2 linked regions of the Mus musculus genome follow. The protein of the gene in region 2 interacts with the protein of the main gene of each other region in a biochemical or structural test. Links are inferred from orthologs where the notes say so. Each region holds a gene or a part of one and is shown on either strand. Other genes may lie near its edges.

Region 1 (7,099 bases), on a different chromosome or scaffold from region 2:
ATTAACTGAACCTTAGGTACAGGGGTTGTGGACACACTACGCTTTAAATCACAGTACATGCATGTTGTATTTCAGGAAGTCATTATTACAGCCTAGGTTTTCAGCAGCACATACTAACATTGAACTTTCCCTTCCTTAAAGCTTGGGAAAATGCGACTGACAATCCCCTGTCGGGCACTTACCTGCTCCCACCTTCAGTGTTTTGATGCAACTCTTTACATTCAAATGAATGAGAAAAAACCAACATGGGTTTGTCCTGTCTGTGATAAGAAGGCCCCATATGAACACCTTATTATTGACGGGTATGTATGTTTCTATCTCTTTTTGTTTTTCTGCTATTCAAGTTTGTTGCCATCAGGTTTGAGATAAAACCTAGAGGTAATTTTTTCAAAGGTGTTTGTTTATGGAATTTTCATTATTCTAGAAATCAGTGAGTAACTAAAAGTGAGTAACTAGTATTGTAAATATTTTTCATCTTTTAGGATTTTTAAAAAACATTTATTTGGGAAGGTACATTGTAAACATATAGCAGTTAGAAGACAGCATTGGAGAGTTGGTTCTTTTCTTCTACCATCTATATTTTGAGGATCAAACTTGGGCTGTTAGGCTTAGTGGCAGGAACCTTTCCACCATCTTGGTGTCTCTCCCATCTTTAAAACATTTTTTTAAAGATTGATTGATTGATTGATTTTGTATGAGTACACTGTAGCTGTTTTCAGACACACCAGAAGAGGGCATCAGATCCCATTACAGATGGTTATAAGCCACCATGCGGTTGCTGGGAATTGAACTCAGGACCTCTGGAAGAGCAGTCATTGCTCTTAACTGCTGAGCTATCTCTCCAGCCCTTTAAAATACTTTTTAACATTGGTTTTATTTATGGCTGTATATATTCTACTTGTTGTGAAAACACATGCTTTTTCCTCTTTTTTTTCAGCACCTTCTGTTTATTATTTTAAAGCAGTAATTCTAAGCAGACGATATACGTGTGTGTGTGTGTGTGTGTGTGTGTGTGTGTGTGTATTGAGTACATCTAAGACCTACAAAGTGCATGCATTAAGAGGATGCATGATCAAATTTTGAGATTCTAGCAATTGAAACTCATCCAATAAGTAAATAAATAAACAAACAAATAGCTTTTGGTCCTAAACAAATGGCTTAGCAGTTAAGAGCTATACTGCTTTTATAGGTCACCCAAGTTCAGTTCCCAGCTCCAGTGTATCTGATAACCTTTTCTGGTTTCCATGTGCACATACCCCCCCCCCCCCCACACACACACACACAAATAATTTAAGCAATTTGTAAATACTACAGGTTCTTTTCAAAGTTGGGCTTTTTAGAAGAAGCTTGGCTTCTGTCCTGTCCACCAAGCCCTGCCACTTCTGTCCACTGTCAGGGCTCCCAGCCAAGGACAACCAGCTGATAGCAGTTCCTGTTGTTCTGCAGCTTCTGTTTCTAGCCTTGCCTTTCCCCTTTTGTGTTTTCGGTCTCTGTCCTCACCATTGCACACAGTGAGCAGAGGTTCTCCTTCTTAGCCATCTGTCTGTTGGTCTTGACCTGTTGATATTTGCCTGAGTCTGCCATTCCCCTTAGGTTTCTGGTTGCCTTTTTGCCACTGAACAAGAAACAAGGAAATGCATTGTGAAAAGAGAAAAATGCCTCCCTAATATTTCTAGTATTCTTCAGCAAAATACTCAAACAAGACAGATTATTTATAGTATATGAGAAAACATAAGAGCCTTGAAGACAATAATACAAGAATTGAATGTATTTGTCAATAGACTTACAACCCAGAGCTTTAAAAATGTTGAGTCTTGGGAGAATATGAGGAAGTAGTGTTTCCTGTTAGATTTTTCAGAAATGAAATGATAACTAATTTATAAATTTAGACTAATAGTAATATTTTACCACCTCTGTATAGTATTTATCTTAGTTCTTCCTTTTCTTATAATACAGATCTCTCTCGCTCTTTCAAAAACAGAACAGGAAATAAAAGGCATTTTTAATAAAACTTCTAGTTTAGTTTTTACATAAATTTTGATTATATGCTACTAATAACTTTTAGTACCAGTATATTTTATTTGGATTTAACTGTTGGTTGAACATCTTTTAAAATTTTATTTGTTTTATGTATATGAGTACACTGTAGCTTACTTCAGACACACCAGAAGAGGACATCAGATCCCATTTCAGATGGTTGTGAGCCACCATGTGGTTGCTGGGAATTGAACCCAGGACCTTTGGAAAAACAGTGTTCTTAACCACTGAGCCATCTTTCTAGCACTGGTTAGACATTTTTATATATATCCCTTCAGTTTATCAGATAAGATCTTTTAGCAATTTGCAAATATAGAATATAAAGTATAAAGAAAAAATTGAATGTATATAAAATTACCATCTAGAGATCATTAGTGTGTGCTTTTATTCACACACAGAATCTTGTTTTGAGATATGTTATTCCTTAACCACCTCAGTTTTTGTGAACATTTTTCTGTATCCTTAAAACTCTTGGGGATGAGATAAGGTGCTTGCTGCCAAGCCCAACAGCCTGAGTTTAAGACTTAAAACCCATGGGTGGAAGTAGAGAACGAACTCATACAAGTTGTCTTTAGACCTCCACATATGCACTGTGGCACCTACCCACCCATATAGCACAAACTAAAGAAATATTTTTAAGTTGTCGTTTCTTTCCAGGTTCCATGGCATCTTTATGTAAACTGTTTCCCGTGTAGCGCATGTGTGAGGGTGAATGTAGTTTGTCTGCTCTACTTCCCTGTCTTCCATTTACCTCTCATAAAACACCTGTGATCTAAGTGTTCTGAATTATGGTTCTCATGTCTCTTCACTTAAAACATGTTCTATTGTCTGTCTAGGTTGTTTATGGAAATTCTAAAGTACTGCACAGACTGTGACGAGATACAGTTTAAGGAGGATGGCTCGTGGGCTCCAATGAGGTCAAAGAAGGAGGTTCAAGAAGTCACTGCCTCCTACAATGGAGTTGATGGTGAGTGGCTTCCCTTGGCCTGGGTGGTTGCTTGCTGTTGTGCTACACCATGGTTTTTAATATAGAAATGCAGACTGTTGAAATTACTGAGCAGTGCAAATAGCTCAGTAATTCTTAGGTTATTGATTAAATGTCCACAAATAGCAGGATTCCTTTTAAATCAACTTTTTGCAAGCCTTAAGATGTTTATGGTACTAGATTTTCTTTTTTTCTTCTTTTTTTGTTTTCCTTTAGTTTTGTTTTGTTTTAGACTTTGGAGTCTCATATTTTGTATTCGCTTGGCTCTGCCTCCTGAATGCTAAGACCAAAGGTGTGCAGCACCATACTCAGCTACTTTTCTTTAAATATTTTCGTATATGTGGGGATAGATTTGACTTTGGTGATTTGCTAGGAGAGGACCAGTATTTTCTAGGTACTTTAGATGCTGTGTAGAAAAACATGTAACACACAATCCTGCTCTAAAACTACTTTTATTCTAAAGTAGATATAAAAGATGTATGTAGCCCTAGCTGTCCTGGAACTCACTATGTAGACCAGGCTGATCTTGAACTCATAGAGATCTTTTGCCTCTGCCTCCAGAATTATTGGAGTAATAAAGGCGTTAAGATATATTTTGATTATTCTAATTCAAAATTATTTTTCAAATAATTGATTAACAACCAATAAAAATGCCACCATTTTTAAACCCAGTAAAGCAGAGCTACCTTACTACATCGCTCTGCTACCCCGTGGTGTTGCTTTGCTAAGTGGATGTGCTCGTCTGCAGGGACACTGGGAGAAGAGGATTGACACGGGTCTTGCGTTTTAATCATTCTTGCACAGGTTGCTTGAGCTCCACATTGGAGCATCAGGTAGCGTCCCACAACCAGTCCTCAAATAAAAACAAGAAAGTCGAGGTCATTGACCTAACCATTGACAGCTCGTCAGATGAAGAGGAGGAAGAACCCCCTGCCAAGAGGACCTGTCCTTCCCTGTCTCCTACGTCACCACTAAGTAATAAAGGGTGAGTGCTGCTAGAACCTTTGCAAAACACTCATGTATGAAAGTTCATCTGCAAAGTAGGGTCAAGGCTGCCAAGTAAACCATTGTGTGTGAATACAAACTGGAGATGGACTCTCCTAGGGATGTTGTGTTTTTGATGAAGTAGAGTAGAGTTCTCCAAGAGTTTGTATATAGGATTCATCATATCAAGAGATGTTTCTGGGCCTCGAGAGATGGCTCAGCAATTAAGAGTACTTGGTGTGGGGCTGGAGAGATGGCTCAGTGGTTAAGAGCACCTACTGTTCTTCCAGAGGTCCTGAGTTCAATTCCCAGCAACCACATGGTGGCTCACAACCATCTGTAATGAGATCCGGTGCCCTCTTCTGGTGTGTCTGAATACAGCAACAATGTACTCACAAAGATCTGAATCCCAGGGCTCAGTGACCACAAGCAGTGACTGGGCAAAGCTAAAGGCCCAGAGTCACTCCCCAGAAGCCAAAGGAAGGAGAGGATTGACTCCGCAAGGCTAGTGTTGTCCAGTGGCAACCCTACAAGCAGTATACTCCCCCAGTATAATCACAAATAAAATAAAATCTTAAAAAAAAAAAAAAAAAAAAAAAGAGTACTTGGTGTATTATGCACAGTTCCTAGCACCCACATGGTGGCTCACAACCGCCTGTAATTTCCACTCCAGGGGATCTGATGACACCGTCTGGCTTCCAAGGGTGCACACACACTCACGCAGTCTTTAAAGAGATGACTCTGCTGCATTTAGCAGTTCTGATGCACATGAGGATCACCAAGAGGGTTTGGGTGTTGGTTTGGTTTGGTTTTGGGGTTTGTTTGGGTTTTTTTTGTTTTTTGTTTTTTTTGTTTTGCATTTAACCAGGGTTGTTTTGTTTTGTTAAGACTTGTTTTATTTGTATGTATGTGCTTGTCAGAAACAACCTTCAGTAATTGGTTCTCTCCCTCTACCATGTGTCAAACTTTGATTGCCAGACTTAATAGCAAGTGCAATAGCGAGGCAAATGGATCTCTGTGTGTTCCAGAACAACCTGATAAATGTAATGAAACCCATTCTTAGGAAAGAAAGAAAGGGTGGGGCGAGGGGAGAGAGAGAGAGAGGGGAGAGGGGGAGGAGAAGAAGGAGGAGGAGAAAAAAAGATGTCCTTTCCTCATATTTGAGGTGTTGCTCTCCTTTCAGGATCTGTTTACAGTCATTGTCCAGTTTTAGTCTGGTAGCAGCCATCCTGTTGAGAGTGTGTGCCGCATGAACAGTTGAGCCACTAGCCTCCCCCAAGTGGACTTGTTCAGTGTACACAGTACAGTTCTTCCTGTGAACTCCGGTGCTCTGCCACTCTGCTGGCCTTCATGCCCAGCCCAGACTTGGACAGCACAGTGCTCAGATACCTTAGTTAGCTCTTAGGAAATAGAGCAAGACTGATGTTCTCTGAATGTGAGGAGGCCCAATGAAGTGCCTTCCACAGCTCCTGTCTGGATCAAAACCCACAAAGATTAGATTTCATTTTTGCTGCTTGTAGGTTTTAGAACATTAGCTTAAAAACTGGAACCTACTTGCTGTAAAATGAATTCCAGTAGAGCACTTACAGTGGAAAGCTGGACACACCAGGTCATTGAAACTGGCTGCAGATGTGTGTGAGGTGCAGGAAAGAACTGCAGTGACTTGGGCTTCCCTGAAGTAGTCCTCTTTTGAAGACTTGTCTGTGGTTCCCAGGAGCCTCCCATCATGTTGTTCATAACCCCATCACTCATAAGACTGTTTGGGGCCACCTGGACTAGATGACATCCTGTCCAATAATATTAGTAGTCATAGTAGTGAAGACAACGTTGATGATGATGATTTCAACGTAGTAAGTGTTCTGAAGAACCTAGAGACCCAGATGGAATGCTTAGGTGACACATGAATTCTATGACAGACATATGAGGGACAAAATGTGACCTTGGTGGATCTGGATATCTTCAGCCTCCCAAAGAAATCAGGAGACAACTGTATTGTTATTTTTTTTTTGTGCTATGATTGCAAAATTAAGATACGTTCTTTTGAAAAAAAATGATACTTTCTAAAAAACAAGTATATAAATACTCTAGAGTTAATTTTACGGCTGTCAAAATAGTCATATGTGAACTCTGCAGTATTTTTACTATCTGAGTTTTTTTTTTTTTTAAATCAGGAAAATTTTGGAGTCTTTAGAAATCTAATATTTTTTCTTTGAATATTTATTATAGTTCTTCCCAAAATAGCCCTGTTTATTATGTTTGGAAAATTATATTAGTTGCATTAACTACTTTCCTGATTTGCCCATGATAAATTGAGCCTAAATACAGCTCTGCAAAGGCCAGAGCCTCCTCTGTGGATATGTAGCTAAAACCTGTATGTCTCCAGCATTTTAAAAGAATGGCTGCATCTGAGCACTGTAAGTGTTCACAGTGGCAACCAGCTGGTAGCTGTAGCATGAAGCCCAGCAGGTCGTTTGCCGCTGTGCATTATAACAAGGAAATACTTGAGAGCATTCACAAATAGAAGACAGGCAGCCGTCCACAACTGGAAAGAATCCGGTACTGTAGCACCTCGCTGAGTGTTCTATTCACCCAGAAGTTCCATACTGTTTGCTAGACTGAGGTGTTTGTGAAGACAAGCAGTCAGCTGCTTTCTCCTGTTAGAATCTCTTAAGCGTAGACAAGGACACAGCTGAGGAACGTGGTGTTTTCTAGAGGTTTACATTCACACTGATTGAAACACTTCTGTGCAGCACCTATTCCATTCAGAAATGTATAGTGCATATTTATAATTAGGATTCTGTTCCTGGAAATGTAAGCTTTGTGTCATTTGAAGTACTCTACCATTAAATTTGTACCTCCACCTACAAGTACCTGACATGGAGTATTGGAAATAGAAGATCAGGGGATGTGGTTCACTGGATAAAGTACTGGCTATAAAAGCAGGATGATTCCCCAGATTCTGTGGAAGGCCAGATCAAGTACCACGCATATCTAAATCAAGAAGGCAGACAGAGACAGGAGAAGCCCTGACACTCATAAGCCATCTGGCCCAGCATATCCATGAGTAGTGTAGGAATAGGCAGGGGAAGCTGT
Region 2 (7,686 bases):
GAAGCAACCATCCAAAGAGAAAGCCCTACTTTATAGGCATGTTTGCAGAACCACCTTAAAAACTGAAGCCTTCCATCCCGGAATGGGAAGGGAAGAGCCCTTATCACAGACATAATCTAAGGAATCAGGTAGTTTGATCTGTTTGGAACTTTGTAGAAAGTTAATTTAGCAAATGAATACTTGACTGTGCTTGAACACATCTGTCCAGGGGAGGCCTCAGGATGACTGCGTTCAGTGGCATGCCAATGAGCTAGGGGGTTGGTGCTGCAGTGGGGGTGCACAGGAACAGTGTCCAACATCTCTCCCAACTCGTTTTCGCATGACAGAAACGAGAATGTGAAATGATTCTGTTTTAGAGTTTTGCCACTAGGGACTGGGAAGAAAAAACTCCTGTCGACCCCTTCTTCCCAGCCAGGAAGAGTGTGAATCCCTGGGTTACAGCCCAGGTAGATATTAAAACAGAGACAGAGCCGTTATTTAGTGGTGACAGGAATATAAATACGTGCACTAACCTATAAACTGGTATTTACTTCAGGAAGGTAAGTAATATTTTTCCTCTGATTGCTGAGCTGTCAGTTTAATGCAGCGTAAATAAACAGTAGGTGCCTGCTAGCTGGAAGTAGGAAGTGCTCATTGCACACGAGGAGCAGATTACTGAAGCCTCATGCTCATCGTGCTGAAACATAACTTTCATTTTACCAGAAAATATACCCTACTGTGGGTTATTTTTTTTTTGTGCCTGATCTATTAATTAACTTAACTCTATTCTGTCAAAATGTAAATCAATTTATAAAATAAAGAATCATCACAGAGTTTTGGAATATGAGAACCGAATCAATTTCAAGAGCAAATACTAAAAAGGAGCGCTTCATATAAAAAGCACAAACTATTTAAAGGCAAAAAGGATAAAGAACATATTTTAATAACAGAACTGAATAACCTGAGTTATTTACTTTACTCAAAATCCTCCTCCTCTGCTAATTAAAAGCAATTGGCACCTCTAATATTCTGTCACCTTCTGCTAGTGTGGTCTTTTCCATATACACGCACAGTTTGCTCTCTGGAACATGTAAAAGGAAACCACTTATAGGGATTAAGCTCTGCTCTCTTTTTTCAATATGAAGAACTCTGAATACTCCCAAGAGAACAGCCAGGTCTGAAGAGCCTCCCTACATTCCTGTACAGTGTGGTTTTCTTTCTGGTTTATGTATGGCACAAAGCTACTGCAATATGTAGCAGCTGATTTTCCCCTCATATATGGGTGCTGAGAAAAAATATTCTGTGGTATCATTTTAAATGAGAATTCATCTAAAATGTATAAAAGGCCACTTGGCAAGGTTTTCCAGGTAAAACATGAACATAATCAATAATTTGCAAAGGAAAAAGAGGGTTGTTTTTAAGAAAAAAAATTTTTTGCATTCAACTACAATGATCTAGACATAATTAGAAGATTGATGTAGCCATATTCATTTATGTACTTCATCAGTAACAAGTACTAACATAATATTAATTGCAATCATACAAGATAACATGTAGGGAAGAAATGGAGTGTTTGTACACAGGGCTTATCTATGTATGTCCTGTTTAGACATTTACAGAGTAGGTAAAAACTACTGGAGTGCTTTAGAGAATCCCTGTTACATACCCATGTTATGTTTAGCTTAACACTGTTTGTAACCAAAAGCTTTCTACAATAATGAGGAACAGGTGCCTGTCACCTGACCTTTTAGGCCTAATTTACAACCCACAACCTGTCACATGAAAAAAAAAAAGCATTGAGATTCCCTCCTAGATTTTTCAGACCCTGCTAGTTTACTGTGGTGTTTCTCAGCTATCACTCAACAGCATCATATCTTACTCAGTCACAGGTTCATATAGCTGGCAACAGACTTCTTTGAAGAATAAACCAATATTCATTTTGTTGTTGCTTTTGTTGAAAATGCCAAAGAGACAAGGAACTACTTTTGTAGATTATCAACCAAAGAAGAATATATTAATTTATTACAAGGGAACAAAAGGCATTCCTTTTGAATACTTTTACATACAAAGAACTATTATTTATTACATATTTCAGCTTGTGGGAAAGTAAGGAATGCATTGATTCTGGAAATAGCTATGTGGATTTGGGAAGTTCTTTAGGTCTTTATCATTGTTCTCCCTCCCCTACCTCGCATACATTTTAAGAAGCTATTACTTCAGGGAGGAAATCCCTATTTGTTCCTTTTTCATCCATCATCTGTATTCATTATTCAGAAAGGAAAACAAAATTGAGCAGTGATTTTATTTCTCTTGCATAACCTTGTTACATGTAGCCATATTCAAATTTAACAATGCTCTGTATTTTATTGCTACTGTTTACATATTATGTATTACATATGACTGAACAACTCTACATTTAAAATATTGTTTCCATTAGAAAAAAATGAACTAATAAGTGTCAAATAGAGATGAAGACTAAACATACTTGGTATATTTATAAGATGAGGTCATTTAAAATGCATACAAACGGGATGACTATTTCGCTACTGTTGCATGTTATATAGTATGCACATTGCTTAAAATGTATTTATTTAACAATGCCCTTAACCAAGTTAATTAAAGTATTTCTGCGTGGTAACTGTGTTAGAGCTTGGGAGGTAGTGAATGATGCCGCCAGTTACTTCTGCTAAGTTAAGTTGAAATTAAGCACTTATTATAACCTTTCCTAACAATGTGAGAAAGACTGAGTAAATATATTAAATTTGTTTCACAACAGATGCTTGGGTTGTTAATATTTAAGATGCCTATTCATGCTATTCCTGTCTGCACATTTGTCAAAAATGTAAGCTTGAATGCTAATGTTTGCCAGCAGACTGGAGCAGGCAGTGTATGCGCTTACTACTGTTCTACAAAAATAATATGCCATAGAAATAAAGAACCGCTGCTAAGTCATAGCCCGAGTTCCACATGGGAGATTCATAAAGGGTTATAGAGCCAGCACCGCAACCCTTGCTTTCTTTGGATTTAAAGTATGGCATAACTTACTCATCTATCTATCTATCTATCTATCTATCTATCTATCTATCTATCTATCTATCTATCTATCTACCTACCTACCTACCTACCTACCTATCTGGAGAATCTGACTACAAAATAAAATTTCACTCTTTCAGAAAATCCACTCTGGACAAGGTGTAAAATTAAGTAAAGTTTTTGGAAGGCTGAGCTTCTGTCACCAGGCACAAACACTGTAAAAAATCCAGGTACTGCTTAAGGACAGAACCTGACTTCTGGCAGAAAGAGACCAGACTCTTGCTCATTCCCCTCTTCTGTCTTGGGAAAGTTGGGTTCTCTGGCCTCCAAGGATACAAACATGGAACCCCAGCCAATCAATCGGGAGCAGAAAAGGTTCTCTCCAGGGAATTGGGTGTCTTCCGGTCCCTATGGACAAGTGAAATCCACGTCTTAACCCTGGGAATCCTACATGCCTCAGAGAAAGTTCTCCCAGAAAGGGTGCAGAGGTCAAAGTTGTCAACCGGACATTTTAAGAGATGAGCCTGTGGTTGACATCTTGTTAAGTAAAACCTGGCCCTGGTGGAGGCCAGGGTCAAAACCTCTACCCTGAGCTCTAAGCTGCTGTCCTCTTGGTCTTCTGGGATCATCCCAGAAGGGACCTGTTTAGCGCCTTTTGCTGGGCCAAGCACACGCACGTGTCACCATCTGGACCTGCCGCTTGCCCCCTCAGTCCCTTGCATTCGAGCTGCCCAACCCCAGTTCGGCCACCCTGGGAGCTCTGCAATGGAGGAACACTGTAGAAGGCCGCCGCTCTCGGGTGTGTACTGTCGCAGGGAAATGAGGAGTTGCCCCCTGGGCTGCACCTGTGGGGCCACAGTCCCAGCTAAGACACCATGTACCTCCCTCGGCTTCCCGCCCAAGCCCAAACCCGAATCACCCTCCAGGACCGACCCGCGATCGCCGGCGTGGGCTGCACGAGCGCTGTTCTTCGGCTCTCAAACTCTGGGCTCCAACTTGAGCGCCCAGCGCCCGAGTGGCTCTCGGGATAGAGAAGTTGCCACAAACTTCCCAGGCCCCTCTCCACCTCCGCTCGCCACCAGCAAAGTAGGGCTGGCCGGGAAAGAACAGGGGGAGATGAGATGGGAGAGGATGCTAAGTGAACTCCAGATCTGGCGCGCGACCTTTCCAACTCCACCCCGCACCTCGCCTCCTTCCCCGCACCGGGGCTCACTGAGCGGCTCCCTTTTCCCCACTCGCCCGCCGAGGGCTTCCCCCCACGCCGCCTTCGTCCTCTAAAGCGGGCCATGCCCACGACCTGGACTAAAGTGTCTAACGAGGGACTCCTGCCGGGCAGGTGTGCGGGAGAGGCAAAGACGCCAAGTAAGTCCGCATCCCGGCCATGACCCTCACTTCACCAGCCCAGTCCTCCCGAATGTCTGAGCGCGCTCGAGAGAAGGGCCAGCAAGACCCCGGCACGCGAGGGGCGCAGAGTCGCCCCAGCCGGGGCCACTGAGAAGTTTGGATCGGTTCCGCATCCGCAGAAAACGGAGGCGAGCCGGGCAAGAGACCCAGAGCGGGAGCAGCACTGGCAGGGAGCAAAGAAGCGGGACTCACTCAGGCGTGGAACCGGGACAGCGCGGGCCAGCGGTGCGGGCCGAGGCCGGGTCGGCTCCCCGCGCGGGCGCGCCGGGCGGCGGACTTCCCGGGCGGCGGCTGCAGCTGCTGCCACCTCCCCGCCGCCGAGCTGGCGGCCGCCGCGGAAGTTAATGGCAACTTGACTTCAAGTTGTCTCCTCTCCCCATCCGAAGTGGGCGTTTAAAGGGGGCAGAGCGCGGCGAGCAGCGAGCGGGGAGCGCGCGGGGCCGAGGGGGAAGGGAAGGGGCGGGGGCGGGGCGGGGCGCGGGAGGGGGCGCGGGAGCCGCTCGGAGCCCGCAGTGTAGAGCGCGGCGCGGGCGATCGGGGCGCCCCCACGAGAGCCCCCCGACGCTGGCCGGGGGCCGTGCGTGCCTGGGGCGCCGCGCTCTCGCCTCTCGCCCGCGTGGGGGGCTTGCGGACCCCACAGCGGGAGCGACCGGGCCCGGCCTGCCTCCCCCGCGCCCGCGGCCGCTTCTCCCCCTGGCGGCAGGATCCTGGGCGGCCGGTGGCTCCGAGAGCGCGCAGTGGAGCCCGAGCTGAGCCGAGCCCGAGCCACCGCAGCCGCCACATCCCTGAGCGCCGCCCGGGTGCAGGGTCGCTGCGGGAGAGCGACCCCGCGGCCGCCAGGGTAAGTGTGGGCGAGCCCCGGAGCCCCACCGCCCCGGCCCTCACCTGCACCGCCCCCGCCGCGCACCCTCGCCGCCCGCCGCTTCCTCTTGTCGTTGTTTGCCTGGGCTTTGGGGGTGCAGAGCGCGGGGCATTGGTGTGTGTGTGTGCCAGCGGAGGAGGAAGTCAGGTGAGAGGCCTGAGCACAACCCCCGCGCCCCGCAAGCCAGCTTGTGTGGGGTGTGTCGCTCCCCAGTAGGGGCATGCGGGCCAAGTTTTCCCCTCTCTTCAATGTTTGATGGAGAAGATCTTTCCTAGAGGGGACCTCCTTCCCTTCAAACTGATGGGCTCTTCTTGCTATCCTCTTCTCTTGGGCACCCCTATTGAGGAACACATAGTGGATGGAGGAGGAGGGGGCCTCTTGCAGACCCCCTTCTCAACCCCAGCTATTTGCATCAGTATCATTTTCCTGTCGGCAGCTGTAGGTCGACGCACCCAACCAGAAGGAGATGCTTAAGCCACTGTCCAAGTCTCTTCTCCCACCCTGACCCACCCAAAAGCAGGGGCAAAGAGGTCAAGAAATGCGGATTTCGTAGGAGGGGAGGCTGGGCCCAGGGACCTTTTCAACTGGTGAAGCTCCAAAGAACTCTGAAAGGTCAAAGTAGCTGAAGGCTTGGACCCCCAAGCTAGGGAGAAATTGGACTCTATCAACTTTAACCCACTCCCCTGCTACTCCTTCCCCACACAACCCCCAGCTCTAAGGAAGCTATCAACTAACAGGTCTTTTGTTTCCTGTTGTGTCGCCTTTGGGAAATTTGCATTGAACGTGACGATAGAAAATTACTACTGTTTACTCGAAGTTAAGGGGGTTGCAGAACGAAAACAGTTTTTACTTTTCTCTTTGTGTGTTTGGCAAGGAGTGGAGCTGTTAGGTTCGTGGCAGGAATTGCAGAAGCTCAGTTGTAAAAATAAGGACTGTAGAACTGCCTGGGTCTGTTTTTAGCAGCTGCACTTTCTTGCGTTCTTTCACATAAGGCTTGCTCTCTCATTAAGTCCCCATAAATAATTGTATGTGGAGCGAAGGCAGTCAGGGTGGCAGGATTGAGATTGCTGGGAGTTCCATCCCTCCAGCGCAGAGCTGTTTGCAGGCAAGTTCCTGGAAAGTGACTGTGGGCTGAGAATTCAGTTTTTCCTAAAAGCTCTGTCAGGTCCTCTTCTGTCGGTTGCCTATGAATCAAGCCTGACACGGTGGGTGACTAGCGATTTGAGCCTTGGTAGCAAACACGTCGACGGTGCAGTGGGAGTTTTTGTTTGTGTTTTGTTTTTTGGTTTGGTTTGGTTTTTTTTTGTTTTTGTTTTTGTTTTTTTGGTGAGGTCATTCTAAATGAAGCAAAATGACATAGTTCAGGCAGCTTTCTGAGAGCCCCCTCGTCCATCCTTGATTTCCCTAGAATTCTCCAATTTTTTCAACTTTTTTTTTATAATTCAAAATACCATGCCAAAGGCATAAGGACATAAACAAATATGAACTAATTTTCATTTGGGGAACTACCTCCTCCCCCTTCTGCTCCTCCTCCCCTTCTTCTTCCTCCTCGCCCCCCCACCCCCAAGCCAACGAGCCCCCTGGAAAGCAAAGCAAGAAGCTATGGGTGATTACAAAGAGCAAAACAACATAAAACATGAGTTTCTCTTCCTGGCTCAGGTTTTTCCCTTCAAGTCCTGGGTGACTTCAAATTTTCTTGCCTTGATTTGCCAAAGTAGGGACTTGTCTAACTAGGTGCCAGTGTCCCCACTGAGCAGGGCAGGTGAGAATGGAGGCTCTGCAAGCTTAGCCTTTACTGATTATTATTGTGAACATATAAAATTGGAGCACAACAGAAGCCCAAAAATGCATTAACATTTCCTCTTTTATACGCTCATATGCTTACCTAGTAATTCAGCTTATCAGATAAATCCCATCATTTAGAGTAAGGTCTCACTTTGCTTCCAACAGCCTGGATTTCCTTCTCTTCTTCCTTCCTTTCCATCCCTAACAGTCAGTAACAGGCAGTATCTACAAACTCTAAGTTTATAGGCACCCACTCTAAAGTGGCATAAACACACACACACACCTTTTTAGTGTCTAGGTCTAAGGTATTTTGCTATAGGATCCAGCATGAAGTGGTATAATTATGTTTAAAGATACTTCTAATCATCTTATTTTATGTGTATGTGTGTGGGGGGGGTCTTTTGCCTACGTGTATATGTTCATCATCTACATGCCTGGTGCCAGGGGAGTTCAGAAGAGATCTGTATCACATCCGCTGGGACTGAAGTTACAGATGGTTGTGAGATGTCACGTGGGTGCTGGGAATCGAACCCGAGTCTTTCAGAAACACACAGTGCTCCAGAGCCCCGAGACATCTCGAAAGCCCCTGATTTCATTTTTCTAACAAATCCAAATGTAGTGTA

Evidence for each region.
Region 1: the proteins of Satb1 (region 2) and Pias1 form a complex in vitro, tested with the Homo sapiens proteins (2 studies listed by BioGRID, with this or other methods). The link is inferred for Mus musculus from reciprocal best matches to the Homo sapiens genes SATB1 and PIAS1.

What each region holds. Positions count from the first base shown.
Region 1 is NC_000075.6:62,889,034-62,896,132, reverse strand, and holds part of Pias1 (E3 SUMO-protein ligase PIAS1), read left to right. Parts: intron 1-141; coding exon 142-302; intron 303-2,873; coding exon 2,874-3,004; intron 3,005-3,826; coding exon 3,827-4,007; intron 4,008-7,099. UniProt on the Homo sapiens protein: Functions as an E3-type small ubiquitin-like modifier (SUMO) ligase, stabilizing the interaction between UBE2I and the substrate, and as a SUMO-tethering factor. Catalyzes sumoylation of various proteins, such as CEBPB, MRE11, MTA1, PTK2 and PML.
Region 2 is NC_000083.6:51,827,862-51,835,547, forward strand, and holds the start of Satb1 (DNA-binding protein SATB1), read right to left. Parts: upstream 4,787-7,686; 5' UTR 4,609-4,786; intron 1,890-4,608; exon of another isoform or gene 1-1,889. UniProt on the Homo sapiens protein: Crucial silencing factor contributing to the initiation of X inactivation mediated by Xist RNA that occurs during embryogenesis and in lymphoma.